Xenopus tropicalis: one gene and its partner. Each later gene encodes a partner of the first gene's protein in a complex. Links are inferred from orthologs where the notes say so. Each region holds a gene or a part of one and is shown in the gene's direction. Other genes may lie near its edges. The genes, in order: lrp5 and fzd8.

Region 1 (16,134 bases):
GCAACACTGACCTTAGGTCGGGGTAAGGGGCCCACAGAAAACATTCCAGTTACATTCTTCAGCATTTGCACGCTTACTTATGGTGCCAATCTAAAGTGCTTGAGTGTGAATATTGAAGGAGTGGTTTCCTTTAAGTATGTCCTAGAATGGCTAGTTCTAAGCAGTGTTTCAGCTGGTCTTTATTAATTATTGTTCATAGTTTTAATTATTTGCCTTTTTCTTCTGACTCTTTCCAGCTTTCATATGGGGGTCACTGACAGCAGCAGCCAAAAAAATATTTTTCTATGACAATACAATTGTATTGTTATATTTACCTTTTATTACTTATGTTTAATTCAGGCCTCTCCTACTCATATTCCAGTGTCTCAATCAAACCACTCCCTGTTTGCTAAGGTAATTTGGACCCTAGCAACAAGACCGCGTTCAAACAAAAAGTAAAATAATTCCAAAAAAAAAAAAAGACCAGTTGCAAATTATCTCAGAATATTGCTCTCTACATCATTAAAAAAGTTATGTCAAAGCTGAACAACCCCTTTAAATAGGCCTGTGCTGCTACAGCACACAAAATATAGAGGAACAGGCTTTGTGAGAGGGCATGAGGGAAGGTCTGATCAAGTATTAATGTGCCCTATGTGAATTGGCTGAATACAGTTCTGTTACAAAGTATCTTTTTTTCCACCCATATTTTATAGGTCCAAATGCGTTTGGAGTATTTCTGAGCTATTGTATCACTGCTGTGTGCCATCCACTTTGCATGTCTCACATATGGAAATCATTGTATAACAGATATTTCAGCAGCTGTGTCGGCTGCCATGAACCACAGCGTTATTGTACGACAGGAAAAAAATCTCTAATGCTGGTTTTGCTGCAATTATGTAAATAAGCCACAAACATAACCACCCTCTCGATGTTTAACTTTAGCTCCCCCAGTCCTTTCCCTGGCGATATCTGTATTTGATTGCTTCACCTTCATGTTTCTTAGCAGCAGTTACCTTTGCAGTCTCCAAGTCACTGCTACACCAATGGGATTGGCAGCATTACTTGGTGAGCAGTTATTTGGCCAATAAGGAGGGTCTTCAAAACGGAATAAAAATTGCATAGCACCCCTCCTTAACCACTGTGTGCTATGGAATAATAACAAGCTATCACTACCAAGTCATGGTAATCAAATCCTGGGAATAACTACCAGCAGCTTTAGACTGTATGCTGTTGGAGGCTTTTGGAGTTGTCTTTTGCCAGCAAGTCCCCAAAAAAGGACTCTTACACTGTCACACACATGCTGGTTTGCTGGCCACCTGGACTCCATCAAGAGATCTAGTTAAAAGATCACAGTAGATCACAGTTAAAATAGTGTGATGTCTATCATTTAGCGCAATAAGCAAGAAAAAATAACAAATACACATAGCAATATATAACTGCAGTGCCATATTCACATTTAATGCCCATATAACATTATTCAAATGCCAACTTCAAGTTTAATGTGAAAGGATTGTAGTAGTGTCCCTTCTTCATGGCCCACTTTGTAGGCTGCACACAGAAACATATATAAAGTGGGAACAAATGTATACAGTGGCCCGGTGGGGACAATCTTCTATACTGGGATGAAACTACAAAGACGGATGGCTTGAGCAGCCACACTCAAAAGCTCCAGTATGCTCGGGGGGGAAAAGTGGCGGGATGTCATCCCACTGTATTCCACCTTGAGGTCTACCCATGGGCACCCATGGTTTACAGGAACTTATACAACTTATACAGTTGGGGTTAATGTAGAAAAGGTGCATAAGCACTATCTGAACTTCCAGATATAAATATAAATTTATTTTTTTCTGTGCAACGCACAAACAGTGTTTTACACCTTTTCTATATAATCACAACTGAATGAGCCCATGTCATAAAGGGGAGTATATCTATCTATTTTTTACTTTTATTACTTCATCATTTGTTGTAGAGTGGTACCAGCAGATTAAATGAGGGTGTCTGCATTTCTGAGAGATGTTGAATTTAAAAGGTGTTGCAGGGTCATCCATCTGCTTGTTTATTAAAGCAGCACTTACCTCTGCAGCTTCTCACAAGGTTCTAAGGCAGTCACAGTCGCGCTGAATTCCCTGAAAGTAATTGCAATTAAAACAATTCTGTTATTTCTATGAAATTAAAGCACACATTAAATGCAATTTAGATACTTAATAGGTAGTGCATGTGTTTTTCCAAGCTAAAACCTTCTTTGTTAACAGGCCCCTTTAAATTCTTTATTAGGACAGTTATGGATTCTGTACAGAAAGTTGCCAGACTAATAAACAAGTCAAGTCTTAAGCAGGACAGTTTAAAAGAGGCACGCAATGCTTCAAATAGACCTGGAAAAACAAAACATTTGGTGCAAAGCTTGGCAGATTGGCAGCTTCTTCAGTCTCGGTCAGCTGCTAAGAATTTGGAATCTCAATTATGGCTCATATAATAATAACAAAAAAACAGAATACAACACTTAGGAATGGTGCTGGCATGCGACTTTTTGAATACAAGCATATACCAGGTTCCTAGCAAAATCTCTGTTTTAGTAAAACAGTTCCTTCATTTTATAGGCATATTTTTGATATTCAGTCCCAGTAGGAGTATAAGGACATATTTCATGTATGATTTACAAGAGGTATTAGGAATGTAATAACTGGTGCACACTTTGCTCCAGGCAGGGGCTTAACTAAACTTGACCTATTCCACCAAGATATATTGAAATTTCTCTATAATTAGGGCCTTACTTGGCTACCTACAGTCCTGGGCCCCTGCAACTGTAGGGTCTGCTTCCTCTATAGTTATGCCCCAGGTCTAGTAATGCATATTAACCAATCATCAGGTTGCATTTAGTCTGCTAATGCAAATAGAAGAATTAAAGCAAACATCTGGTTGAGTTACAGACCTGGACCAAGCTTTGCATCTGTTAATAGATAACCTCTTTAAGGAGTTTTCTGGAACTGCACTCAAGCATATGTGATGTTTACTAAGGTATTATTAAATGGGATATTCACCCAAATAATGACAAATAGTTTTTCTGTGAACAGTTTGAAATGCAATTTGTATTAAAAGCTGAATATATCTACAATCATGTAACATATGCAATTAATGTATAGAGGCTGCTTCTTTAAATTGTTTGTGTCTAACTAGTATTAGAGCTAGTTGTCACATTGAGCTCAGTATCTTTGTCTGAAACAACTTAACATATTTCAGAGATGCCTTAAATAGAAAGATAATTAATTAATAAAAAGTAACAATTACAAAATGAATTAATTTGTTTTCCATTAAATAAAGAGTAAATAGCTTGTTAAGTGTACCCAACCTTCTAACCTGCTCAAACTTCTTATTCTCAAAAGTTATATTTTCCATTTCAGCATCTCATTTATTTTTCTCTTTACTGTACTGAAGGTTATCAACGTTGATGGAAGCAATCGGAAAACTCTCTTGGAAGACAAACTTCCACATATATTTGGCTTTACGTTGCTGGGAGATTACATCTATTGGACAGACTGGCAGAGACGAAGCATTGAGAGAGTTCACAAAGTCAGAGCAAGTAGAGAAATTATTATTGACCAACTCCCAGATCTAATGGGTCTAAAAGCAGCAAGTGTCTCAAATACATTTGGTATGTATTGTTACCTATACACAATGATCATTTAACATAATAGAAGCTGAACAGTATATAAAGTATATATATACTTTTTATATAACAGTGTATAGTCTTAAAGGGGTTGTTCACCTTTGGATTAACTTTTAGTGTGATGTAGACATTGATATTCTGAGACACTTTGCAGTTAATCTGCATTTTTTTATGGGTTTTTACCAGCTACACAGTTTGATATTTTAAAATCTGGTTGCTAGGGTTTTATTTACCCTAGCAACCAGGCAATGGTTTGAACAAGAGATGGGAATATGAATAGGAGGCCTGCATAGGAAGATAAATAATAAAAAGTAACTAGTAATCAATAAAAAGTAACAATAAAATTGCAGCTGGGGTCAGTGACCCCCACTTTAAATTTGAAAATATGTAAAAGAGAAAGGCAAATTATTTGATTCCAATAACTATAAAATAATAGATAATTAAAACCAAGTTGCTATGAATAGGGCATCCTATAACATTCTAAAAATTAACTTAAAGGTGAGCCACTCCTTTAAGTCAAAAAGAAAAAGCTTTAGAAAGTATATATAATATGAAAAACAATAATACTGATGCCACCCAATCAGTTGTATTTTAATTCCTGATGGTCAGTGACTCTGGCAACCAGCATTTTCAGTTGCAGGCTAGCCGAGGCCCAATAGGAAATCTATTGCTTACAATAAGTTCATTTATAACATACTTAAAATGAATTTGAATGTCTTATTTAAGGCAACAGCCCAGTACATACTAAAAGTAGTAGTATTTGTAGCTAAGATTGCCTGGGAGTGGCATAAGATGATGGTATATATCCTGTTCCCACCACAAGTTTCCAATAAAAGCGTTATATATATTTCTTAAAATCCTTATACTCTGACACCTGCAGATAAAGGCTAATGTATCAGACATAATTGCAGAACCCCCAGCTATGACATTGTATGTTGTTGCATTTGAATCAGATTGTCTTTTGGGCCGAAACTCTGTGTAAATGCTTGCTTATTTATTTATAGGTACCAATCCCTGCGCTGACAATAATGGAGGCTGCAGCCACTTATGCTTCTTTTCTCCCCGGGGAGTACGATGTTCCTGCCCCATAGGACTGGAGTTACTTAGCGACATGAGGACTTGCATTATTCCTGAAGCTTTCTTGGTTTTTACCAGCAGAGCAACTATCCATAGGATTTCCTTGGAAACAAACAACAATGATGTGGCCATTCCTCTCACAGGAGTCAAAGAGGCATCTGCTCTTGATTTTGACGTATCTGATAACAGATTGTACTGGACTGATATCACCTTGAAGGTACAACTAGCTGCAAGTTTTACTTATCGGCTTGATAACAGTTGAACATATTATGTCCAACTTTACCAGCTAAACTTAGGAAAAATACATTGTGCACCAATGGGGTTAATAATCCATGTATTAGGTATATTTAAACTATTTCACTATTGTCAGCCAACTGATAGTTCCTGTTTATGGCCTGTTTCAAAGTAGAACTTTCATCCTTCCTAACAGAAGTAGCCATGAAGTAGTGCAGAAAACCTTTTCCAGGCTGGTCTTCTTAAGCTCCCCCTACTTCTGTGCTTTTGGCCAAGCTTCTTGTTGTGGCAGACAGGTCTTATTTAACAGAGGCTTAAAAGTCAAATCTAAAGCTCTGGGAACTAACATGGGGCACGTCTTAACTTTCCCTGGGCTGATGTGCCTTCGTGCTAATACAGCTGCCATAAAACAACGGTTGAACTTCTCTAGCACAACAGATTTGTTGTTATTCTCTTCAGAACATATAAATGCTACTTTGTATATTCTGTATATTCTTATTCAGCTAATTATATGGGAATTGTTTCAGGTCCTTGGTTTCCAAACTACCTTCTGGATGAAACTATTTTCATAAGTCTCACTGCCGAAGACCAAAAATTTTGTGATAACTTTGACATATTTTTCATATCTGCTTAGTCTTAACGATAGGTGCCAAGGATTCAGACTGGAGCATAGTGTCTCATTCTTTCCCATCATGGGAATCTTTAAAACCTTCAAGCAACACTAGTCATCAGTCAAAATAGAAGAAGGGTGTTTTATTTACAGCCCATTACCTATGGCTGTAGGACCGTGAAAGGTCCAAAGACCTCAAGGAAGCAGAAGAGTTTCTACAGATGCTTTCCATTCCATGGAAATCTACATTTGGATTGAATTCCATTTTTCTGACCCTTATAGAATCTCATAATGTTTAAATAATCTACCCAGTCATTAAGCTTGGAGGCAATAGAAACTGAATCACCGGGTATTTTCTCGGATTTTCTCAGCATAGCTAGCATACAGTGAACTTAATGAAGATGCAGAATTCAAGACGTAATGGTTATGGAATCCGCTTCAGAATTGTGGATATTTACCTTGGCTTTCATCAACTTTTCCAAAAGATCAAGAATTTCACATGAATCACGGACTTTTATTTTGGAACCTCAATAAACTACTAAACATAATGAGGGGTACATTTAATCAACCATATCTTGGTGCACAGTTGCTTCTTGTTTAAATAATTCTCTCTCTGTGTGTGTTGAAGTCAGTCTTCTACTTCTGAGCAGATCAATCTATTAGCATGGGTCTGAATTTGCACATGATGAGTTTTCACATGATGCAGTGTTAAAACTCATAATTGTGGGTGAGCCACCAAGCATACTTGCATTGCAATCAGTGGTTTGTTCTGCAACCGTTAGGGTGAAGACACAATGGGCTACTAGTAGCAGCTACTTTTTCAAGGCTACTAAACTCCAAAAAATACCCTCCCATAGACAATACTGAGCATTGCCTCTGCTAAAACACACATAGAGACAATTATCAGTAAATGATCAGCATTATCTGGTTTAGTAGCCACGACAAGTAGCTGCTACTAGAAGCTTTGTGTGTCTTCAACCTTAGACTTAGGCCTGGGAATGAGAATGGATAAAGAATAGTAAAGGTCTAGGCAAAAATAAAAATTAAAACTAAGAATAACAATAACATTGACTCTCTAGCAAGTTCATTTGTTTTTGCTGGTTACTTAGGGTCAGTGGCCCCTGATAACCAGATAGAATTTTAGGTGCAGGCTGGAATTTGGCAGAAGAGGATGGCTAATAATTGTTAAACCATGCATAATAAATTCTGAAGACCATTTGGAAATTTCCTTAGAATAGGTCCTACAATAAGGTGACGTGAATATCCCCTTTTTCTAAAATCATATTGTTTTAATTCCTTTGTGTCAAGTCTTAAAGCCCTCCGCTTGTGGTCTGGGAGAGTTCCAAATACATTCCTAAGATCTAGATAATCTACATCCACAACTCCACCCTTTATTTAGCCTGTCATCAAACTCAGTTAAAATAGTCTGGCGCTAAATCAATTCTTTTTGGACCCCACTTTATTTTTGAATAATTTTCCACTAAAACAAATGGGGAAAGTTGTGTGTGTTTATTCATATTTATGGTATCTTGCAATATTTATTCCTTTGGAAAAAACATTAAATAAAACAAAATCCACAGTCTGCTGAGTGGCCTTTTGTGAAAAACAGTAAAAGGGTGTATACAACCTACAATTGGTCGAAATATCTGTTTCTTAGCTATATTTCCTCCTCTTTTACTTTCTAATAATCATATCTATTTTTTGTTTTGCAGACAATAAGTAGGGCATTTATGAATGGAAGCTCCGTAGAACATGTTATTGAGTTTGGCCTGGATTACCCAGAAGGTATGGCAGTTGATTGGATGGGCAAAAACCTTTATTGGTCAGATACTGGAACTAATCGTATTGAAGTTTCACGTCTGGATGGTCTGTATCGTCAGGTTTTGGTCTGGAAAGATTTAGATAACCCTAGATCCCTGGCTTTGGATCCAGCAAAAGGGTAAGCAGTGAAATCCTACCTTCCCCTCAAAAGACTGTATTCAAGAGTATATTAAATATAGATGTGTACATTAAAGCACTCCACATAATCTCACACAGGGTTTTGTTTATAAAGCCATAGCACAAGCACTACATTAGGTGTTCCTAATCTGTGTGATTATCCCCCCTGGGAGGAGAACCTGGGGGCCCAGCCTGGAGTACAGTTATAGCAAAAAATGGGAAGAATGCTTATTTTCTCTATTAAATGCTCTTAAAAGCCCAGTCTGCAGGTCAGTTAAGGTGAGCTATTGGGTTGGCGTCATGTTTCCTATGTTAGACTTGTACTGAGCCTAAAAACAAGTTATTCAGTAGTGAACTGTAATTCTAAACTTCTGCAATTCTGCTTGCCTGGATAAGTGAATTGTCTGATTATCTGGAGAAATATAGTAATGTCACTACCTTATTTCTTTGCCCCTGCGTGAGGCAGAAAGGGGCACAGAACCAAAGTACCCATAACTCTTCACCCCAGGTATTAACCATGGATTATTGTGTTGCTGTATGTCTGTCAATCCTCATGCAATTGTACCCTATTATTATTATCACATATTGATAAAGTGCCAACATGTTCGGCACAGCTGTGCAATAGATGGGTGTATACATCACATATTTACATCCGAAAATAGAACCAATAACCAATACAAGAGGTAAAAAGGGCCATGCTCCCTGGAGCTTGCAGTCCAAAAGTTCTCTGTATGTGTATGTTTTGCCTCCTTATTGAAAGCAAAACAATCCTGTTGGGTTTAATTACTGTTTAAATAATTTTATTAACAGACTTAAGGTAGGAGATCTGAATTACAGAAAGACTCCTTATCCGGAAAACCCCAGGTCCTGAGCATTCTGGATAACTGGTCCCATACCTGTACTCTTTTGGTTCCTTGTTTTAGGTTTCATTATTCTCTAGGCATTGCATATTTACAGTTTGATTGTTTTCTATATGACTCTTTGCTTTCTTTATAAATAATATATTCACATGTGTGGGTTTTGGGGTATTTTCTAGCTACATGTACTGGACAGAATGGGGAGGAAAACCAAGAATAGTAAGAGCCTACATGGATGGGACCAACAGCATCATTTTGGTTGATAAAGTGGGTCGAGCCAATGACTTAACCATTGACTACGCCGATCAAAGACTGTATTGGACTGACCTGGATACAAACATGATTGAATCTTCAAACATGCTAGGTAATTAAGGTGGCAACTACAACAGGGATGCCAAGAACAAATTTAAAGGCTGCATTTGTCATCATTTGCAGTTTTTGTTCTATGAGCTACCTGGTTTCTATGGGTCACTAGAATTGGAGCAAGCTTTACAGCCTTTATTTCACCAACCCTTGTGTGTTATTGTATCAATATGACCAATATGAAAGGTTTTGTTTCTAAACCATTCATGTGTATGATTGAAAAAATGCCAGGCAACAACGTCACTTTATGCTTATTTGTTCCCACTTAAATTACAGTATTTCAAGAATTCTGTCTAGCAACTTTCAGTGAAAATTTAAGTTAAAGGAGAAGGAAAGGTAAAAACTAAGCTTTATCAGAAAGGTCTATGTAAATACAGCCATAAGCACTCACAGAATCACTGCACTGAGTCCTCTATCAAAATAAACAGTATTTCTTGTCTCCTTTTTTGGGAACATGTTCTTCAGTATCAGACTTCCTCTCTTTTAGGGCCTTTTAAACCTTCAGGTTTAGTGCACAAGTCTGCTCAGTTCTCTCCCCTTCCCTTCTCCTGCTCCCCCCCTCCCATAAGAATGCATAAGAACTCACTTCCCCACCCTTAGGAATGTGTGATCTGAGCTTCCAGCGGCTATAACTGTGGCAGGAAGCTACCAAGACCAAGCTAAAATGGCAGCTGTTATCAGAGGGAGCTTTTAGTGCTCTTTACACTGGTATAGTAAAGCTTTCTGCTGAATAAATATAGAATTCTAGGTGGCATAACGTTTAGCTGCCATTGGCTTGATATGCTCCTTCATGCTAGTAGCCATACAATTTTTTTAAGAAGAGGGGATATATGTGTTTTATGCATTAACGTCCCCATGCACAATAAATAGTTGCAATAAAGAAAACTACAGAAGGATAGAAACTTAACCTTGAAAAGTTGTAAAGCACATATACAATAAATAGTTGCAATAAAGAACCTACAGAAGGAAACAGAATCTTGAAAAGTTGTAAAGCAGACTGGGGGTGGTGGGACTGAGCAGAATACCAGCTGTTGTCTTGTACAGTTTTCTAATTCCAGGTTTCAGCGGCTGCCTGAGAATATTATGACTTCATACATCTTAAATTCATTCTTTAAAAATAGCTGAGCTTGTAACTCTTCCACTGCCAGTAAGACCTACAGTTTCTTTTATTTGGTGAGGGACCCTGCAAAACCTATTGGCTGTAAAGAATTCATGTTCTTTAGTGTAGGGGTCCCCAACCGCCGGTCCGCAGACCAGTACCGGGCCACAGGCTTCTTTCTAGTGTGCCGCCTCTGTTACCGGCCGCGGTAAAAATGCAAAGTAAACGAAGCGCCACCTGAATAGTACGCATATAAAAGCACCGCGCCGATCAATGCAGGGCGCATGTAGAGGCGCGTAGGAAAATGGCGAACGTAGGAATACACAGATGAACATGCGAATGAACGCATCGGGCGTATAAACCCCCCCCCCCCCCCCCCCCCTCCGGTCCGTGGAAAATTTTCACACTTGACACCGGTCCTTGGAGCGAAAAAGGTTGGGGACCACTGCTTTAGTGGAACAAAGTGCATGCTCTACATTGTAGATCCTTCAAAAAAATTACCATCATGGATGACATTCTTAACTAAATGTGGTCAGATTTTCATTCAAAGGTCATTGTAGCTCTTTCTTGTTGGGCCAGTTTCGTTTACCTTGGACATGAATGTTGAAGCAGCATATGTAATAATAATTAACTTGGATTCAAAAACAAAACTTTTTTTTTTCTTCTACTTCAAAACCCTGGTCGACTGTGAAAGGCAATTGGTAGGCAGGGGACTCTGCGCCTGCTGGTCATAAACACAGAATGGGTCCCTGTGTGACTTGACTAGGGTCTCCACGATCCCTTTCAGTGCAGTGAAATTTCTACCTACAATTGTAATTAGTATTTAGGATCAGTGGCGTAAATGATAAAGTATCAGCTTTGTTGCCCAGTATACTGTTTACTAAGATCCTCTAAATTACTATTGCCATTGTCATCTTGCAGCCACCGGGAAAAATTCAATTGGGAATTCAAAGCCTCCCCCATTTGGTCAGCACAGCTGGTTTGCCAAACCGATCTGTTTCAAGAGGATGTAGGTGGCATTACAATACTGTGGTGCAGCCTATAGTAAGAAACATTCCCCTAACACCATCGACAGGTTTGCCTCCCAAAACATTCTTAAGCCAACCCCACCCATCCAAACAGTGCATTGGGTTCCCTTTGAAAACAGGCGAACAAATGTCTATTAAGAGCAGCAATCCTGCCTACTTGAAACAGAAGCCAAATGTGGTTTATGGCATATACCGTTTAGTGCATGCTTTGTGGTCGAAATGTCAGATATACTCAGTATTACTGCAACATGTAATGTGCATTGTGTAATGTAATAAGTATTACTGCTATGCTTTGGGACCTATGGTGTTTAAAGGAGAAGGAAAGGCTAGTAAAGAGTTAATCTCAAGCTGCAGGCATACCTTCAGTTGTCTCAATAGTGCCCTTAAGTCTCCTATATTTCACTTGTTCAGATGATCAGAAGCCAAACAGGAACAAAAAAACGCTGAGCTGTGTATTAGAAAGTTCCCATAATGCCGCACTCCTGCACAGACACCCAGACCCCTGTACATGCTCAGTTAGTTAGACCATGTGTCAGCTTCCTGCTGATTAGCTCAGATCCACATTCCTAAGGGGGGGGCGGGGAGTGAGTTCTTAGCATTCTTGGGGGAGGGGGTAGCAGGAGAGAGCAGAAAACAGAAAGCTGCGTGTCTCTGGCACAGGAATTACAGACACAAGAAATCATTTTATAGAGAAGTCAGTGCAGCATTTCTGTGAGTGCTTATGGCTGTATTTGCATAGACCTTTCTGATAAAGCTTGCTTAGTTTTACTTTCTTTCTCCTTTAAGGTGAGTTCCTATGATATCTCTGTACAGGGTCACTGTAAGAAAAAAGGGGCCCAACACACACCAAAACTTTGTTGGTGTGTGCTGGACCCCCCCTTTTTTTTCTTAGTGACCATGATGTGACGTGGCCAAACATATGGGAGTCACACCACCACAACTGTAACCGAGAATTTGAATTGTAGGTGAGCTCCTCAGTTGACTTTTCCACTCTATACCGGGGCTACTTTAAGCCACAGGTAGGTTTCAGAGCAAAGTTTCCAAAGTTGTGCCCCCCCCCCCCAAACGAATGAATGCACTTCTGCATCAGTATTCTTTTTAATAGATCCAAAGTACAGTGCCTGTGAGTGCAGACATAGGACTGAGCAGAGGCCAGTGGATTAAATGATTCTCGGCCTATCAGTAAAAATTGGTTCACATTTTTTTGTTTTACATGACTACTACTGTATATACTCGAGTATAAGCCTAGTTTTTCAGCACCCAAAATGTGCTAAAAAAGTCACCCTCGGCTTATACTCGAGTCGGATGCAATGAGTCCCTCCAGACTAGCACCCTCTGTTTTTTGTGTGCAAATTAGCCCACCCGAAAAGTAAGCTTTTCAGAAAGGTCTATTTAAATACAGCCATAAGCACTTACAGAAACGCTGCACTGAGCCCTCTATCATAAGAAACAGGATTTGTCGTCTCTTTGTTTTCCTGTGCCAGAGACATGCAGCTCTCTCCCCTCTTCCTCATAGACTTACACACTGAGCATGTACACTGGTCTGGGTCTTGGTGCAGGAGTGAGGCATTATGGGAACTATCTTTACACAGCTCAGCATTTTTTTTCCTATGAGGCTTCTGATCATCTGAACGGGAGAAATATGGGGAGACTTAAGGGCACTATTGAGACAACTGAATGTATGCCTGCAGCTTGAGATTAACCCTTAATTAGCCTTTCCTTCTCCTTTAAAGATTAAAAGGATATGAGGCTGGTTATTTCTGGGGCATGCTTAATTAAAATATTATTTCAGATGATATGACTGGGGGTAATAACTTGTCACCCCTTCATTTACTAGATCGCAATGTTTATTTTAAGAAATACCACTTCTATCACTCTCTGCTCCATCTTTATTTAGCCATCATTGTTAACATGGTCCTGTTTGACCTCCCCACCTGCTGACCTTGCGTGTAGCAGTTTCTTGTGCGCTGTTCTGGATAACAGCAGCGTGTGAGCAGGATTGCCAGCGCTGAATTTGATTGTAGGGCACCCAGAGAGGGAGGGCTGAGCTGGGGTAATGTATACAAGCGATCCTGCTCGCAATAAAGAAAGCATGCACACAAAGATGATTGTCTGCTCACGCGCCTACTGGGAAAGCTGTGATGTGCGCATGCGTTTGGTCTGATGCATTGTGGGGATTGTTTTCTATACTAAGCGGTTTGACTGAAAGAGGCAGACTATAACTGAGTATTAAGGTATGCCTTTCCATAGACCCATTATTGGGTTTAGAGTTTCCTTGTCTTTTAAAATACTCAGCACTCTTAAACTAGTACTGCTACAACGACCACCGTATGGACCTGTAACTTAAGGTCCCCATACACGGGCAGATAGTAGCTGCCGATATCGGTCCCTTGGACCTATTCGGCAGCTTATCTGCCCGTGTAGGGGCAGAACCAAGGGGCCTGGCCGACCGATATCTGGCCTGAAATTGGCCAGATATCGATCGGCCAGGTTAGAAAATCCAGTCGGATCAGGGGCCGCATCGGCTCGTTGATGTGGTCCCCGAACTGACTGCCCCATTGCAGCGTTTAGAATTCGATTGTTTGGCCCCAGGGCCAAACGATCGAATTCGCCTACATGCCCCCCGATATCGCCCACCCATAGGTGGGGATATTGGGTGAAGATCCGCTCGCTTGGTGACATCGCCAAGTGAGCGGATCTTATAGTGTATGGGGACCTTTACAAAGGTTTTTCATTTTTGGCTTCAGAATCAGATAATTAGTGGCCTTCACAGAAGCAATATATTTATTATTGGTTTAGAGACAATATGTGCAGGAAAGCCTTTTTTTTCATTGTTCCGCTTTGATGCTCATCATTTGTTTTGTAAGGGCTTTTTGGCATTTACCTGTGCTTGTGTTATTTCCCAGGAGCGGAACGAGTGATTATTGCAGATGACCTTCCTCATCCCTTTGGACTAACGCAATACAGCGACTATATCTATTGGACAGACTGGAATCTCCACAGCATAGAAAGAGCAGACAAGTTAAATGGCAACAACCGCACTTTGATACAAGATCACTTAGATTTTGTGATGGATATCTTGGTCTTTCACTCTTCCAGGCAGGATGGTTTAAATGACTGCATGCAGAATAATGGGCACTGCAGTCAGCTCTGCTTGGCTGTGCCAAAGGGATACAAGTGTAGCTGCTCCTCTCACTATACACTTGACTCAAACAACAGGAATTGCAGCCGTAAGTTCTAACTGCATTTGTAAATATGCTAAATGACAACTTTTTATTTCAGGCGGTTCAAGAACCCACTAGGAATGACTCTATTTTGGACCTGGTGATTTCTAATAATAATGAACTTATCTCTTACATTTGTGTGGGTGAGCATTTGGGGAACAGTGATCACAACATGGTCTCCTTTGAGATAATGCTGCAGAGACAACTCTATAAGGGAGTAACTAAAACGCTCAATTTTAGACGTGCAGACTTTGCCAGTATAAGGGCATCTCTGCAATGTGTCAACTGGGAAAGGCTTTTCATGGGGTTAGACACAGAAGGAAAATGGAACATCTTTAAAACATTGCTTTGTAGGTATACACAACAGTATATCCCCCTTGTAAGCAAGGAGAGGCATCGCAAAGCAAAACCTTTATGGCTGAATAAAAGTGTTATTGTCGAGGTTGGTAAGAAAAAAACGTGCTTTTAGGGCATTCAAATTAGCTGGGACAGCAGAAACTTTCATCAGGTACAAGGACGCAAATAAAGCATGCAAAAAAGCTATCAAGCAAGCTAAAATAGAAATGGAAAGGAATATATTGCAGCTAGGAGTAAAAAGAATCCTAAATTATTTTTTAATTATGTGAATAGTAAAAAGATGAAGCAAGAAGGGGTGGGAACTTTATTATCATGGGGGGGGTAAGTTGGTTGATGTGAATGGGGAAAAAGCTGAAATTTTGAACTCTTATTTTTTATCTGTCTATACATCTGAGGAGCCAGAAAATGAAGGCTTCCCTTGTAATATGCCCAGTTCTAGTAATTTAGCTACTGACGCGTGGGTCACTCGGGAGGAAATTCAAAAGAGACTTGAACATGTAAAGGTAAACAAAGGTCCAGGGCCGGATGGGATTCATCCCAGGGTATTAAATGACCTGAGCGCTGTGATTGCCAAACCTCTTCACTTAATTTTTCAGGATTCATTGAGGTCTGGCATGGTGCCGAGAGACTGGCGGATTGCTAATGTGGTGCCGTTATTTAAAAAGGGATCCCGTTCTCAACCTGAAAACTATAGGCCTGTTAGTCTGACATCAGTAGTAGGAAAACTTTTGGAAGGGGTAATAAGGGATAGGGTACTTGAATACATTGCAGTTCACAATACTATTAGTTTGTGCCAGCATGGTTTTATGCGTAACAGATCTTGCCAGACTAATTTAGTTGCCTTTTATGAGGAGGTGAGCAGGAACCTTGATGCTGGAATGGCAGTTGATGTCATCTACTTGGACTTTGCTAAAGCGTTTGATACAGTACCTCACAGAAGGTTAATGATCAAATTAAGGAATATTGGCCTAGAACATAATATTTGTAATTGGATAGAGAACTGGCTGAAGGATAGATTACAAAGAGTGGTGGTAAATGGAACATTTTCTAATTGGACCAGTGTGGTTAGTGGAGTACCGCAGGGGTCAGTCCTTGGTCCTTTGCTTTTTAACTTGTTTATTAATGACCTGGAGGTGGGCATAGACAGTACTGTTTCTATTTTTGCTGATGACACAAAATTGTGCAAAACTATAAGTTCCATGCAGGATGCTGCCGCTTTGCAGAGCGATTTGACAAAATTAGATAACTGGGCAGCAAACTGGAAAATGAGGTTCAATGTTGATAAGTGCAAAGTTATGCACTTTGGTAGAAATAATATAAACGCAAACTATCTACTGAATGGTAGTGTGTTGGGGGTATCCTTACTGGAGAAGGATCTAGGGGTTTTTGTTGATAACAAGTTGTCTAATTCCAGGCAGTGTCATTCTGTGGCTACTAAAGCAAATAAAGTGCTGTCTTGTATAAAAAAAGGGCATTGACTCAAGGGATGAGAACATAATTTTGCCCCTTTATAGGTCCCTGGTAAGGCCTCACCTTGAGTATGCAGTGCAGTTTTGGGCTCCAGTCCTTAAGAAGGATATTAATGAGCTGGAGAGAGTGCAGAGACGTGCAACTAATCTGGTAAAGGGGATGGAAGGGTTAAACTATGAGGTGAGACTGTCGAGGTTGTTTTCTCTGGAAAAGAGGCGCTTGCGAGGGGACATG
Region 2 (16,766 bases), on another chromosome or scaffold:
TAAAAACCCTACAATTCTCACAGTCACAAGGTGCTTATGGGGTTCCCTATTTCTCACTCCAGCTGCTGTTACTGAGCCCCATTATAAGTCCAGACAAAGAGAAGTCTCCCTAATTACCGAGAGCATGCACTTGGCATTGATACGCTGACTATGACATAATTACTGGTGGATTTATAAATTACAAACATGCTTATATACAGACATTTTAGCTAGTTTTGAGGCTTCCTTATAATATTGTCCAAATCAATAGTAAATGTGATTCTCTGAGCAGCAGCTTGTCTGGCTGGGAATCCTGGGAATTGAGGCTCAGCAGCAGCCTGAACGCAGCCAATGAAGCCCATTTCTGTATCGGAGCAACATCTGGCGGAGCGCAGGTGGCACATCCCCAAGGCAGGCGATACCAGTAGCTGCGCTAAACCTCCAGCTATGCCTCTGTATTCATCCAAACCAGATTTTTTTTTTTTTGACATGAGCTTTTCAGTCCAGAAAATTCTGACCGGCCAAATCGCTTGTATAAACAAAGCCTAATTGCTTCATTATATGCAAAGGGGGCCATCAGCAGGATAGATGGAAAGGGCTGATTGGCAGAAATACATAATCATGTCATTCGTTTGCTTTCTTTGTTTTTAGGTGCTAAGACTAATTGGACACTTGTGTGTTAATGGAATTTCTGACACGGCAGAACTACAAGCTTGCCTGCAGGATGAAGTGCTAACTGTTGATGTGTTTCTATAAGCAATCAATTCCTTAACTATAGAGAGTGGTAAATGTGGGGGGGTCTGCGGCTGCACTGGGGCCACAGTCTGTGCAGCTTGGTACTGGCTAGCATTAAGTGTGTGGCTATCCTGCACCTTGCAGCCCCTGGCATTCCCTAGCTGGTGCGTCTGAATGCCATGCAATCTCACACAATATACCACTTATGCCTCTGTGTTTTTGAGTAAGGTGCACCTCTTTGGGTTCCATTCTAGGAAGGGCAAAGAGCTGAACATTCTGGCACGACCCACTGGGCAAGGTGCAAAGTGCAAAAAAACAGAGGGGTTCATGGAACGGCAGGCTAGGGGGCAAAGTGCAATAAACAGGTGCATGCCTGTGTTGGACTGGGCCAGAGGGACACCAGTAAAAAAATCTAGTGGGCCCCACTTACCCAAAATCGATATCTGTCTTCCCTGTCACTCCCCCACTGCCCTCCCTTCCCGGATTGTGGCAAAAAAAAAGTTTGTGTGGGGGGGCCCTGCAGTAGCAGCACCAGTCTGACCCAAGTGCAAGCTGTGTTTTTATGACACTTTGCACCGTGTCTCACCTTCATCACCCGCCGGGACAGTTTTTTCAAGATGATTACAGCACTGCCTGTGTTCGTCAACACTCTATTAACAAGGGGTGGGCTCTGCCAGCATATTTGTAGATTGTAAGCTCTTTTGGGCAGGGCCCCCTTCACCTCTTGTATCGGTTATTGATTGCTTTATATGTTACTCTGTATGTCCAATGTATGAAACCCACTTATTGTACAAGGCTGCGGAATATATTGGCGTTTTATAAATAATTGTTAATAATAATAATATGCAGGGTGCTGGTGGGTGCAAAGGAGGTTTGTTCTTACTGCCCTATGCCAGGTGGTAATTGAAGGACTGTCTTGGGTAGCAGATTTTAAGGGTGCAAGGTGCATAGTGCTTAGTGAATGAGCACAACAGGGGATTAGGAAATTTTTCTTAGGGTGCTTTGCCCGCAGTTTTGTATCAGAGGGGGATACCAGAGAGAGCCAAGAGGAGCAGCATTCATAGTGGCTTCTGGGGCCCACTAGTATCAAAGGCTCATGGGCCCCTGCAATGTGTATATATATTTTTTTTCCTATACACGGCCTTGGCACCATAGAAACATTTTGTTGTGGGGTGCAGTAACTTGTCATCATAACCTATTAGCAGCTGCAGGGATTTCGGGCTGACCTTGGTGTGAGAGATTTATTTACCACTGCCCCTAAGCTTATCTGCTGGCGGCTGATTGATTAGTTTAATGATTACACGGGGGATAATCTCAGTGATAGCATTAGACACCTCTGCTGCAATGAGTAGTACCAGTAACAAACATAAAGTAACCATAACATCACCCTGGTTTATCTGCACCCCCAAAAAATGTGAAGACCTTAGCTCAGTGTTTGTCAGACTGAGGTCGAGCCCCACCTTTGAGCACCCCATGACTGATGACTGATATATCCAAGGGTTGCTGTTATCTGCTTCCATGAATATCTATTCTGGGCCCCCCACACTAGGACAGCCCCACGATTTGGGGATCGCTAGCCTGTAACTTAATAAAATCAACATATTTGAAATTTGTAGGCAGGATTGGACTGGGCTGGCCAGACACCTGGAAAAAACACCATGGGCCCCACAGACTCTTCCCAACTGAAACTATGGGTGTCCCCCCAACCCGCCCCTCCACTCATGAGTGGGGGAGGGAAGGGGTTGCTACGTCAGGTATTACATGTGAAGGACCTCACAACTGGGACAGGGGGGCCCCTGAGGTGGCAGCACTGGTGGGCCCTGGTCCCCCCAGGCCGACACTGTATATACACTGAGATGCACACACACTTTTGTTACTATGGGTTGCAGTTCGGCAACACCACGAAGGCAGCATATTGGATTAAAAAATATTTTATGAGCAGAATATATTTTAGTGCTTTTTTTTCATTGCACGGAAAGGACTATTTTTTATTCCCTCTTTTTATTGTATACTTCCTGCCAGGGTGTATTTCAGATGCCTCTCTGGCCGTGCACTTTCACTAACTAAGGGCTTAGGTTACAATTCCAGCTGTTTCCAGAAACCACAGGCATTGGGTTTTTTCCTGTGATTTACTCCTTTATAAACCTGCTCTATATTAATGACTTTATATATATATACAGTATATGTGCTTCATATAGGCCTTTATACCAAGTTTATTTTTATAGAGCCACCTCCTCTTCATGAAAATGTATTGCTTTCAAAAATAGACCACAGTTATTCATTTTTTCACATATTTTCAATTAATTAAACCCAAGTGCCCTTCCCCAGGAGCAGCTCAGTATGTCTGTTCCACAACTCTCTTGTTACAATATTATGGAGTAGTCGCTGGCATTTCTCACCAGCAGGTGCCCCCAGCTAATGTATCACACTGTAAATGGTATGTACTATGTACGCATGTACTATCTGAGAGCAATATGATTGGTAAAGGGGAACGTCTAGATGTTTGGATGTTTTATCTCACAATAGAATAGGTGGAAGTGGTGTATTGAGAGCAATATATATTGTGATGTTATAATGTGGGCTAATACACATTGCGTACATTGCAGCCTTGTTTTCACTCCATTAGCATATGTTTGGGGCTCATGTGAGTTGGTGACAATCCCGGGGGATTCAGGTGAGGGGTGGAACTGTTTATTCTGGGGAGTGAATATTCTCAGATGTGCCCATACAGGGCCATGGGCACGGAGTCACATAAAGGGAGACAAAGATGGGTGTATTTATTAATAAATGAGGGATTATTTATCAAAGAAAATGTGTAAATGGGTGCATGCAAGCGGGTTCCTTCGTGTAGTCACAATGTTGTGTATACAAACAGGACTGTAGGAATAAACATATACATATTGTGTGGTGCACTCCGAGGTTTTACCCCTGCACGGCACTGCGAGGGTGAATTGGCCACAGTTGTTTACTGGTACCGACCCAGGGCAGGTTTTAGGGAATTACATTGGCTCTAGGCCCTCAGCACCACAGGGGTCACTCATGAGAAAACCTAGAAAATATGTTATATTGTATAACAACTGTTATTGCACTGATGTTCAACCCGTAGCCCTTGAGTTGCTGTTGCACTTTAGGGTGAAGACACACAGAGCTTCTAGTAGCAGCTACTTGTCACGGATACTAAAAAAGACAATACTGATAACTGTCCCTATGTGTGGTTTAGCAGAGGCAATTCTCAGTATTGTCTATGGCAGGGGATTTTCTGGCGTTTAGTAGCTGTGACAAGTAGCTGTTACTAAGTAGCTCCATGTGTCTTCACCATTAAGGATGAAGACACACTAAGCTACTAGTAGCAGCTACTTCTTCACAGCTACTAGACTCTAGAAAATACTCTGCCATAGACAATACTGAGAATTGCCTCTGCGAAAACACATAGATTATCAGTAAATGATCAGCATTGTCTATTTTATTAGCCACGGAAAAGAGCTGCTTCTAGTATCTCTGTGTGTCTTCACCCTAGCAGTTAGAACACTTGGAACAGTGTATAAAGGATTTTCATGGTTTTTATGTACAGAAAATAATACATTGGCTGCTTGGAGGACCAGGATACCATTCCTTTATCCTTAGTGGGTATATATATATACAATTAGATTGTAAGCTCACGGTTAGAACAGCTAAACATCCCTCCACTGTGTAGCAAGGGGGAAGCCTCCTTAAGCTCTGGGTTTTTCTCAGTAACTAAGATACTCAGTAACTGTTTTAACATGTTACGTTCCGACACAATAGCCGAGCCTCCTATTTTTCCTTTGGATTTCACTCACTCGTGGGCTGCGCTGCTTGTTTGCATGCTCTATAGCGTATCAATTTCCTGAGCTCCCAGACTATCTGTCTACAGCGCCGTCATCTCATTTGCCATAAATAAACACATATTGTGGCATACGTCCCTTGGGTGGAAAAACGCATGGGTGTTCTTAAAGGAGGAGCAAGTATTTAGTTCATAAATGTGAGTGTGGCGCTGCTGCTGAACTACACATCCCAGCACCCCCAGCATATGTTCTCTGCACTCACTCCTGGTTCTGAATCTTGAAACAGCAATAGTCACTGTCTTCTACCACATCGTTTCAGGAGTCAGAACCAGCAGAGCAGAGAACATATAACAACCAAATTGTACCCAATTCAGTCTGATTTCAAGCCAAATCTTGCCTAGAGCATTATGGCTCCCATGTATATAAATATAGGTATGGTTTGTAAACATTCTGCTTGTATTCCCATCATTAGGGCTAATGTCACACTTGGGGGCAGATTTAGCAAAATGTGAGTTTAGAGCTTAATACATAAAAACTCACCCATGTTCTGTTTATTCTTATGGGATTTTTAGAAGCAAATTTAACAAATGGGGAGTTCTAACTTTCACCCAGTGATAATTATGCTTCTAAAAATCCCATAGAAATGAATAGAACGTGGGTTTATGTATTACGCTCACATTTGGATAAATCTGCCCCTAAGTGTGACATTAGCCTTATAACACAAACCTGAAGCAGGTGAAGTTTTATTGGCGCACGTACACCCCCCCCCCCCCCGTTTCATGTGTCCCCCCTTTACTCCACACATCATTTTCACCTTTCAGGTCCTCTTGCTCCCCTTTGCTCTCACCCATTAATCCCTACCACGCACCCCACCTTAATGGCGCCTCTTCTGCCTACCCCTAGTTCCAACCAACTTTGCAATGAGCCATGGAGTGTGCAGGGACCCCCAGGGCTGCCACCTCAGGGACTCCCCACCCCACTCTTTATGGACATGATCAGGGATGGAGGGGGGGACTTGCACCCACAGACAATTAGTGATGGGGAGCCCAGTCCAACCCAGGAGCCATGTGACATCACTAACCAGTGACTATAATGGATGACATCACTAAGCAACAAGGCAAGCAGAGCAAGGGCAAGTCTCCCCAGTTTTCCCCCCAAAAGGCAGTTCTCGGATTCTATACAATATATGTATTATATATATTAATGAGGGGGAATTGTAATAATTAATAATTCATATTTATTGTAATAATATTAAACCAGCACTTATTGATATGATTGTTCTGACTGCTAATTTTACATGATACCCTATATTTAGTACTATATTCAGTATAAGAGAGGCCCCCAGACACCTGATTGAATTTCCCAGGGAGCTAGTGGGGGGCACAGGCTGAATGGGGACAGTCTCTCAGGCTGCTGATTATTAGGCTGCTGCACATTCAGTAAATACATCAGGCTAATGATGTGTGCTCTCTATAATAAGGTACATCCCTTGGCTCTGCATAACAATGGGCCGCTAATAAACACGCTGAGACCACCTTTAGTAAGGTTGATTGCTTCAGGCAGCAGCCCCACCTCTCTCCGGGGGGGATTAGTGGATTGGGATGGGGGGGTGGGATCTGACCGCTCCCGGTATAAATATTCATTGGGAGCCGCCAGTGAGCGCAGAGAGAGGGAAGGAAGGGAGCGGCGCCTGTAGAGAAGCGCACAGCCCACAAACGCTCAGCCAGTAGCGCACAGCCCACAAGCGCTCAGCCAGTAGCGCACAGCCCACAAGCGCTCAGCCAGTAGCGCACAGCTCACAAGCGCTCAGCCACAAGCGCTCAGCTCACAAGCGCACATTCATCCAGGTGCCGGAATATAGATTTATTGCCACTCCGGGCTAGTAGCCCCATCAGTGAGAAGCCGAGGGAAGCTGTCACTGTGGATTTACAACCCTTCCGACTGGGACTGGTTCCTTCCCGCTGAACTTGCCGGCGAGTTGAGGGGATGAGCCCCCGGCAGTGACCCCCGCAGCTGTGAGTGGAGCCGTGCAGCATGGAGTGCCTGTACCTGCTGCTGCTGGCCGTGTCCTGGCTGCAGGGATCGCAATGCGCCGCCGCTAAGGAGCTGTCCTGCCAAGAGATCACCGTGCCCCTGTGCAAGGATATCGGCTACAACTACACCTACATGCCCAACCAGTTCAACCACGACACGCAGGACGAGGCGGGCATGGAGGTGCACCAGTTCTGGCCGCTGGTGGTCATTCACTGCTCCCCGGACCTGAAGTTCTTCCTGTGCAGCATGTACACCCCCATCTGCCTGGAGGACTACAAGAAGCCGCTGCCCCCCTGCCGGAGCGTGTGTGAGCGGGCCCGGGCCGGCTGTGCCCCCCTCATGCGTCAGTATGGGTTCGCCTGGCCGGATCGCATGCGATGTGATCGTCTGCCCGAGCAGGGCAACCCCGACACCCTGTGTATGGACTACTACAACCGAACGGAGCAGACCACGGCGGCGCCCAGCCACCCAGAGCCCCCCAAGCCCCCGGCCAGGTCGGCACCTAAGGGCAGGACCCGTGTGGAGCCCCCAAGGCCCCGGCCCCGGGCACCAGGGTGCGAACCGGGCTGCCAGTGTCGGGCCCCTATGGTGCCGGTAACCAACGAGAGGCACCCCCTGTACAACCGGGTCCGGACCGGGCAGATCCCGAACTGTGCCATGCCGTGCCACAACCCCTACTTCAGCCCGGAGGAGAGAACCTTCACCGAGTTCTGGATCGGCCTCTGGTCGGTGCTTTGTTTCGCCTCCACATTTGCCACTGTATCTACTTTCCTTATCGACATGGAGCGATTCAAGTACCCAGAGCGCCCCATCATCTTCCTCTCTGCCTGCTACCTCCTGGTCTCGGCTGGCTACCTGGTCCGGCTGATTGCTGGCCATGAGAAGGTGGCTTGTAGCCGTGGCGAGTTGGACCTGGAACATATTATCCACTATGAAACCACTGGGCCAGCGCTGTGCACCCTGGTCTTCCTGCTGATTTACTTCTTTGGCATGGCCAGCTCCATCTGGTGGGTCATTCTATCTCTCACCTGGTTCCTGGCCGCTGGCATGAAATGGGGCAACGAAGCCATAGCTGGCTACTCACAGTATTTCCACCTGGCCGCCTGGTTGGTGCCCAGCATCAAATCTATTGCTGTGCTGGCCCTCAGCTCAGTGGATGGGGACCCGGTGGCTGGCATTTGCTTTGTGGGCAATCAGAACCTGGACAACTTGCGGGGATTTGTGTTGGCACCGTTGGTCATCTACCTGTTCATTGGCAGCATGTTCCTCCTGGCCGGCTTTGTCTCCCTATTTAGGATCCGGAGTGTCATTAAACAAGGGGGCACCAAGACTGACAAACTGGAGAAACTCATGATCCGGATAGGGATATTCAGCGTTTTGTACACGGTGCCGGCCACCATCGTGGTGGCATGTTTTTTCTATGAACAGCACAACCGGCAGGGTTGGGAGGTGGCACATAACTGTAACTCGTGCCAGCCAGAGGTGGCACAGCCCCGCCGACCAGACTATGCCGTTTTCATGCTCAAGTACTTTATGTGCCTAGTGGTTGGCATCACCTCTGGTGTGTGGATCTGGTCGGGCAAGACTTTGGAGTCGTGGAGGGCGTTCTGTACCCGCTGCTGTTGGGGCAGCAAAGCGACTGGAGGCTCTATGTACAGTGACGTTAGCACCGGGCTGACATGGAGATCTGGGACTGGCAGCTCAGTGTCCTACCCAAAACAAATGCCCTTATCTCAGGTCTAGACGGAGGTTTAACGTGGACTTAAGGCGAGGTTTGCAAATTGTTCTGTTTTAACTTAACACTCTTGTCCCCTTACCTGGGCAGCGCCCAACCTGTGGCCCATTCAGCTCTTGCTGAGCGACAACTTCCAGCAGTGTCCACTTAGTGCTGCTGGGAGTTGAAGTTCCACAACAGCTGGAAGGTTGCAGGATGGACCTTACACCTAGATACTGGGGGGTGCGGGGGAGGGACAGACCTGAGACTTATTAAGACTGACCAACGTCGCCCAACTTGCCCCCCCCCCCCTTTAGATTCTTGCTATTAGCATGATAATGAACTCTTAATGGTATCCATTAGCAGGGACTTGAATGACTGGTCCGGACAATGTACCTGGTATTGAAGCCTCCCTGATTTCTCCCATTTATATGCAAGGAGCATTTGTGAAGGCGATAATTATAGCTAAGCAGGGGCCGGGATTGCCCCCTTGGCTACAAGGAAAGAGGCAATAACTATCTGTGCTGCTGCTGCTGCTGTGGGTCATTCTGGTTCCGTATCACATTTAGCTGTGTCCTCAGCCATTTCCCCCCCCCCCCCCCCAGTCCCATGGGTGAGCCCTACTTGTGCCGCCAACTGTGCCTGAATAATGTTTATTTCTTCTTGGCATAGCGGGAGTCTTAACAGCAGGGTACGGGGTTCTATGAATTAACCACCAAGCCTGTTTTAACTACAACTCCCAGCATCCCTGGTTGGACAGCCCTGGCTTTTTTTTTTTTTTCTTCCTAAAACTAAACTATTGCCTTAAAAATGGAATAAAATGTCTTAATTAAGAAGCAGTACCCCAATTAAATACGGGTTTCTTCCATAATAGGATGTATTTATATAATTATTTGTCTTGTAAAATGTGTAATATACTGTACATAGGCACAAAGCTATGATGCTCTGTACATTTCTTTTGTATAAAGGATAGAGGCTTCTCAATAAGAGCAAATATTGGAGTATTCTATTTTGTCAATAAAAATGACCATTTTTTATATAAATGACATTTCCGCTGCTTTTTTCTGCTTAACTGTTTCCTATCGTTCATATAAATATGGTTTGTATTCAGTGTTATTGTCACTAGGACTTTGGGGACACTTTTGTTTTAACCCTCCCCTTCCCAGGGCCCAATATCTTAAGTGTTTACAAGCTAGGGAATGGCATGGGTTGGGGTAGCATTAGCTGTATATGCACGGAGCTGGCTCCATATTCATTTGTAGCCTGTGGGTCGGCACCTAAACTTGGGTCTTGCTGTTTATGGTGAAACGCCCTGCAGCATTAGGGCAATTACAATAAGGTGCAGAATTAATTCAAAACCAGTGTTTCAGGTCTCAAAGCTTCCCCTGCCAGGGTCCCCTGAGAATACAGGGTAGGCAACACTAGCCTTAAAAGTTGCATGCTTGTTAATGTAACCCTACTATAGTTTATATAAATACCCTGATGTATAGACACAGAGGCAGCTATTCCAGCTGAAAAAAGTAGAAAAGATACAGGTTACATAGCAGATAACGCATAAGCTCTGTAGAATACAATGGTGTTATATGCTATGGAACCTGTTTATACATTTATATAAACTATAGTTGAGTTCCTAAAGCAAACCTGTCGCAGGGCAATAGAACATTATATTTGAATGACTTTAAAAGCTTTCATATTTTGGTGTTACTGTTCCTTTAATTTCATCAGGCTGGGGGAAGATATTGTCTCTTGCACTTCTCATTATCCCTGACAGGAAACAACAGGAAGTGGGGAGAGCAAAAGTCTTGTTTTTTCCTTGTAGTTTCACCTATGAAAAGGTCCATTATATTTTGAAAATGTTAACATGAAAATATGTTTCCCACTGCTTCCCTATCTATCATCTATCTATCATCTATCTATCATCTATCTATATATATATCTATCTATCTATCTATCTATCTATCTATCTATCTATCATCTATCTATTATCTATCTATCTGTCTATCTTATATCTACCTCTATCATCTATATATATATATATCTATCATCTATCTATCATCTATCTATCATCTATCTATATATATATCTATCTATATATATATCTATCTATCTATCTATCTATCATCTATCTATTATCTATCTATCTGTCTATCTTATATCTACCTCTATCATCTATATATATATATATCTATCATCTATCTATCATCTATCTATCTTCTATCTATCTATCTGTCTATCTTATATCTACTTCTATCATCTATCTAGCTATCTATCATCTATCTATCATCTATCTAGCTATCTATGTATGAATGAGCAACTTATATTTTACTGTTCAATGTCCCTTTAAAAGTGGTAAACTCTCATATTATCTATCCTCTGTCTATCATTTATCTATGAATAGATAGTAGCTTATATTTTAGTGTTCAATGTCCCTCTATTATCTATTTATCTCTCATATCATCTGTCTATCTATCTACCAATAAGAAACTTATATTTTCAATGTGCCTTTAACAGTTGTAACCTCTCATTTTATCTACCATCTATCTCATCTATCTATCTACAAGCAACTTATATTTTAGTTATCTATCTATTTATCTATCTATTTTTGTGTTCACTGTTCCTTTAAGAGTGGTAACGTATCATTCCCTATGAGGCATGCAGGGGAAAGAATACCTGGGGCCCCTATAAAGTGTAGGCTCATTTATTGGAGTGGGGGGGCTGCTGATTAGTAAAAGAAGATGAACCCTATACCTGTCCCTAGTGGTTGAGGACGTGGCCCCTCCAATAAGTGAGGCACCAAATGAATGGGGTTAATCTGTAGGGAACTCCCGTCCTTTGAGTCCTACAAACTTTGATCTCCAAAACATGGAGTTTTTGTGTCCCCGGGTCCCTCCCCTTTGTGCCGAGGAGCAATTGGGCCACCGCAGAGCCTCGAATCTTTCAATGAAAGACATTGGGGCACTTTATGTTTTTTTTGGCATCCGGAGGAGAATTGTAACAGTTAGTGAGGGCCGGCAGGGAAGGGATGGAGGACGGTCGTATAAAAGAAAGCTTCTTCCACATTGTTAGGCAGACGGCAGGCAGCAGGACATAAGCTGGGAGGGAAGAAAAGGCAGCAAGAATGCACTACAGGTGGTCTGCTCACATAATCCCCCAATTTGAAGTTTTCCCCCTTTTTCTTTTTTTTTGGCCAGACAATATCATTACAAAAATTCTCCTCTCTCCTGCTTTTTCTCCCTAATTGAAGCAATTCCCTGGCTATTATTGGAGCAGATTTTGTTAAGAAGGTTTCTGTTCGGGGGGGGGGATCCAGCATGTTTCCCATTCCTGATACTTATCGCTAGTGTTTTTTTTTGTGAAGAATTAGGAATAATGGATAGGAGGATGTGCGCCTTGAGTGCATATATGCCCTTAGGACTCTTATTAGCCTGTCAGTCTGCATCAGGAATGGCAGCTCCTCGCCTAATGACATCCATCATCGGGGCTGGCAGGGTTTGCACTCTCTCTCACTGCTGGGATTGCTATTTGTTTAGTTTAGTCGTGTCCCCTCCAGACCCCAGAGCCGCCATGACACCCAGGCCCAAAGGTTGTGACACCGCCACATTGTGCCAAAGGGACTCTGCTGTTTTATTATTCATTAAGGGGGACTCAATAATGAACTGCAAGTTGTTCTTCTAATAAAGAGATCGGTGTTCCATTTAAAGCTGGGGGGCGGGGGGGCATTTGTCCGTTGCACTCTTCATTTTCTGCTTTTGTTTTCCTGTGACCCCCTAAGCAGGAAGTGAGGAGTGCAATCATTAATTACCTGCGCGCTGAAAAAATAATTGCTTTTAAAACCATATGTGTTGATGGTTGTTATGGTTAAGAGACATCAGCGCGCCTCCTTAAAAGCCACTTGAATTGCACTGAATATTTATTGTTTATATACCATATGGGGGGTTGTCAAGCCTGTGGGATTCCAGCTGTGCTCAACATCTCCCACTATGTTTTGTACCTTGTTGTGAATCCAAGTTCCCAGCTTGCACCGTACATTTTGCTTTGGGCGGGAGGCAGGGAGTTGTAGTTGGCAATGGAGTGTGGCAAGAAATCATTTTATACCATTGAGCAGTATCTACATAGAGTCATGGGGCGAAGTTAAGATATTTGGCAATAATAGCCTCTGGGAAGGGACTGGGGCTGTGGGATAGCAGGTATAGTAGGGAGAGATGGTGCCTATAGTAGCAGTGGGGGGATAATAGCCTCTGGGAAGGGACTGGGGCTGTGGGATAGCAGGTATAGTAGGGAGAGATGGTGCCTATAGTAGCAGTGGGGGGATAATAGCCTCTGGGAAGGGACTGTGGTTGTGGGATAGCAGGTATAGTAGGGAGAGATGGTGCCTATAGTAGCAGTGGGATAATAGCCTCTGGGAAGGGACTGGGGCTGTGGGATAGCAGGTATAGTAGGGAGAGATGGTGCCTATAGTAGCAGTGGGATAATAGCCTCTGGGAAGGGACTGGGGCTGTGGGATAGCAGGTATAGTAGGGAGAGATGGTGCCTATAGTAGCAGTGGGATAATAGCCTCTGGGAAGGGACTGGGGCTGTGGGATAGCAGGTATAGTAGGGAGAGATGGTGCCTATAGTAGCAGTGGGGGGATAATAGCCTCTGGGAAGGGACTGTGGCTGTGGGATAGCAGGTATAGTAGGGAGAGATGGTGCCTATAGTAGCAGTGGGGGGATAATAGCCTCTGGGAAGGGACTGTGGCTGTGGGATAGCAGGTATAGTAGGGAGAGATGGTGCCTATAGTAGCAGTGGGATAATAGCCTCTGGGAAGGGACTGGGGCTGTGGGATAGCAGGTATAGTAGGGAGAGATGGTGCCTATAGTAGCAGTGGGGGGATAATAGTCTCTGGGAAGGGACTGGGGCTGTGGGATAGCAGGTATAGTAGGGAGAGATGGCGCCTATAGTAGCAGTGGGGGGATAATAGTCTCTGGGAAGGGACTGGGGCTGTGGGATAGCAGGTATAGTAGGGAGAGATGGCGCCTATAGTAGCAGTGGGGGGATAATAGCCTCTGGGAAGGGACTGTGGCTGTGGGATAGCAGGTATAGTAGGGAGAGATGGTGCCTATAGTAGCAGTGGGGGGATAATAGCCTCTGGGAAGGGACTGGGGCTGTGGGATAGCAGGTATAGTAGGGAGAGATGGTGCCTATAGTAGCAGTGGGGGGATAATAGCCTCTGGGAAGGGACTGTGGCTGTGGGATAGCAGGTATAGTAGGGAGAGATGGTGCCTATAGTAGCAGTGGGATAATAGCCTCTGGGAAGGGACTGGGGCTGTGGGATAGCAGGTATAGTAGGGAGAGATGGTGCCTATAGTAGCAGTGGGATAATAGCCTCTGGGAAGGGACTGTGGCTGTGGGATAGCAGGTATAGTAGGGAGAGATGGTGCCTATAGTAGCAGTGGGGGGATAATAGCCTCTGGGAAGGGACTGGGGCTGAGGGATAGCAGGTATAGTAGGGAGAGATGGTGCCTATAGTAGCAGTGGGGGGATAATAGCCTCTGGGAAGGGACTGTGGCTGTGGGATAGTAGGTATAGTAGGGAGAGATGGTGCCTATAGTAGCAGTGGGATAATAGCCTCTGGGAAGGGACTGTGGCTGTGGGATAGCAGGTATAGTAGGGAGAGATGGTGCCTATAGTAGCAGTGGGGGGATAATAGCCTCTGGGACGGGACTGGGGCTGTGGGATAGCAGGTATAGTAGAGAGAGATGGTGCCTATAGTAGCAGTGGGGGGATAATAGCCTCTGGGAAGGGACTGGGGCTGAGGGATAGCAGGTATAGTAGGGAGAGATGGTGCCTATAGTAGCAGTGGGGGGATAATAGCCTCTGGGAAGGGACTGTGGCTGTGGGATAGCAGGTATAGTAGGGAGAGATGGTGCCTATAGTAGCAGTGGGGGGATAATAGCCTCTGTGAAGGGACTGGGGCTGTGGGATAGCAGGTATAGTAGGGAGAGATGGTGCCTATAGTAGCAGTGGGGGGATAATAGCCTCTGGGAAGGGACTGGGGCTGTGGGATAGCAGGTATAGTAGGGAGAGATGGTGCCTATAGTAGCAGTGGGGGGATAATAGCCTCTGGGAAGGGACTGGGGCTGAGGGATAGCAGGTATAGTAGGGAGAGATGGATAAGAGTCGGCTGTGGGGGTCAGGTCCATTGCAACACAGTTTTTTTTTCATAGTTTTAGATAATCCCAGACACACTGTTCCTTTTAGACTTAGTGTTTGCCTAGTGGTTACTGAGCAACCCCATTGTGAATAGCTGAAGTTAAGCTGAGCTAAAAACATTTCTTCAATCCTACAAAATGGCCTGTGCATTACACACTGGGAAGGTAAGTATCTTAATACAGGGGCACAATGTGGGGCAGCAGTAAGTCTGTATCAGTGTAGCACCTGCCATAGAGAACCATAGTGAGAATGAGCTGAGCCTGGAAAGTCGCACACAGGCAGCCGTTCCTATCTGCAGCCCCAGCACTTGCCCAAGAAAGAAGGATAGACTTTTAGTAAATATTAAACTGTCCTCACAGAGTAAATGTTTAAACTGCTGATAAGGCGACTTGTATAGTGAGTTTATCTGGGCGCCGTTATCTTGGTAATGAATGGGCTCAGGGAGAATTAGTCTCTGCGGAATTCTTACAACACAACACTGGGGGTTTCTTTTTCTCTTTATATTCACCTAATTGTGATTGAGGAATGTCAGCCCATTCAGGGGCACATTGTATTAAACCAATATTAGCAGAGCTGGAGAGGTTTCCTCAGTGCTTTGAGATATTCCATGGCTTCTACATATTCACAGGGCTGGATACGCCGCGTCCAAATAAAGGCACAGGCCGGATTCACTGAAGAGAAGTATTTCCCTGGCACAGCTAGAAGGTATTTGGCCCCACAGCAAGATCATTTTAGGGCCACTCTAAGGGCCACTCCCTGGGCCCCCTATCAGTGTCGGACTGGGACCCCAGGGCCCCACCAGAAAACCTTAGACCCTAAGCCCACTCTCCAAACTATTTTTTCTCCTTTCCTCGCCCAACCTCTTTATTCTCCTAGTCTCTTGTATTTACATGCTAGCATCTATTCTTCCATCTATTTATACTCTTCCTTCCCAATCAGAAATAGGCAATGACCATGAAACAGACCAAATAGTCAGGAGCAGGAGGGCCCACTGACACCTGGGCCCACCGGGAGTTTTCCTGGTATCTTGGTGGGCCAGTCCAACACTGCCCCCCATGCCACCCCAGCAGCCATAGGGTATTATAGGAAAATCATTCAGTGAAACATTGTCTGCTATTTCAAGGGTAAGTAAAGGATTGTGTAAAGCTCGGCACCTTTCCAAACACAATTTGCAAAGGTCAAGGTGGATTGGGAAATGTTAGAGAGGAGCAGACTCTGTCGCCAAACCTGACATTTCTTTGTGGCTTTACTGCTGATTTGTAGGAATGGAAGCAAAAATAAATCAGATTAGAGCAGAAAATGCAAAAAAAAGAGTAACTTATCAATAATTTTGCCTTGACTGAAGAATGAAGAAATGTGCTTTCCACAATGGGAATCAATACAGAAAGGTCTCTGTTGTGCAACAGGCTGATCAGCTTTATACTGGGAAAGGTTATCTCCTGCGTGTCCCCTCCAACCGCTGTGCCAGGGGGTGGCTGTATTAGCATTCATCTCTTTAGCCAAAATTTAATTCTATCATTCCAGCCTGAGAGCAAACATTCAAATGGGCAATAGTATCAGAGAACACACACACAGTGCCTGTTGTACCGCCCTACAGTATGTGTTGCTATTTCTAATGGGAAAGGTTAATTACAGGGCTCTGGAAGAGAATTTAAAGTTGCAATCATTTGACAGAGTTGAAACTGTACTGCCACCTAGTGGCAATTCCAAAACTGCGCCGTATAGAAAAATGAAAAAGGGAGAAAGAAAGAAAGAAAGAAAGGTTTTATTTCACTGTAAATTAAATTATTATATGCTCATGGGAATGTTTCTAAACAGAGGTACATATGCCATTCCATTATATCAGTGATCCCCAACAAGTGGTTTGTGAGCAACATGTTGCTCACCAACCCCTGGGATGTTGCTCCCAGTGGCCTCAAAGTAGGTGCCATTTTTGTATTTCTGGCTTGGAGACAAGTTTTGGAAGCCCAGAGAAAGAGGCAGAGTTTTATCTTGTGCTGGACTATTGGCTTCTCATCAATCCTGATCACTCTGTTCCTGCCCCGGCTCAGCCACAATCCTACTCAGTCCCTCCTGCCCCGGCTCAGCCACAATCCTACTCAGTCCCTCCTGCCCCGGCTCAGCCACAATCCTACTCAGTCCCTCCTGCCCCGGCTCAGCCACAATCCTACTCAGTCCCTCCTGCCCCGGCTCAGCCACAATCCTACTCAGTCCCTCCTGCCCCGGCTCAGCCACAATCCTACTCAGTCCCTCCTGCCCCAACTCAGCCACAATCCTACTCAGTCCCTCCTGCCCCAACTCAGCCACA

The links.
Region 2: lrp5 (region 1) and fzd8 share a complex: the UniProt entries of both Homo sapiens proteins name them as parts of the wnt-signaling complex. The link is inferred for Xenopus tropicalis from reciprocal best matches to the Homo sapiens genes LRP5 and FZD8.

What each region holds. Positions count from the first base shown.
Region 1 is NC_030680.2:37,156,980-37,173,113, reverse strand, and holds part of lrp5 (low-density lipoprotein receptor-related protein 5), read left to right. Parts: intron 1-3,411; coding exon 3,412-3,628; intron 3,629-4,647; coding exon 4,648-4,937; intron 4,938-7,276; coding exon 7,277-7,503; intron 7,504-8,538; coding exon 8,539-8,723; intron 8,724-13,755; coding exon 13,756-14,079; intron 14,080-16,134. UniProt on the Homo sapiens protein: Acts as a coreceptor with members of the frizzled family of seven-transmembrane spanning receptors to transduce signal by Wnt proteins.
Region 2 is NC_030682.2:21,477,152-21,493,917, forward strand, and holds fzd8 (frizzled-8 precursor), read left to right. Parts: upstream 1-6,189; 5' UTR 6,190-6,551; coding exon 6,552-8,294; 3' UTR 8,295-9,311; downstream 9,312-16,766. UniProt on the Homo sapiens protein: Receptor for Wnt proteins. Component of the Wnt-Fzd-LRP5-LRP6 complex that triggers beta-catenin signaling through inducing aggregation of receptor-ligand complexes into ribosome-sized signalosomes.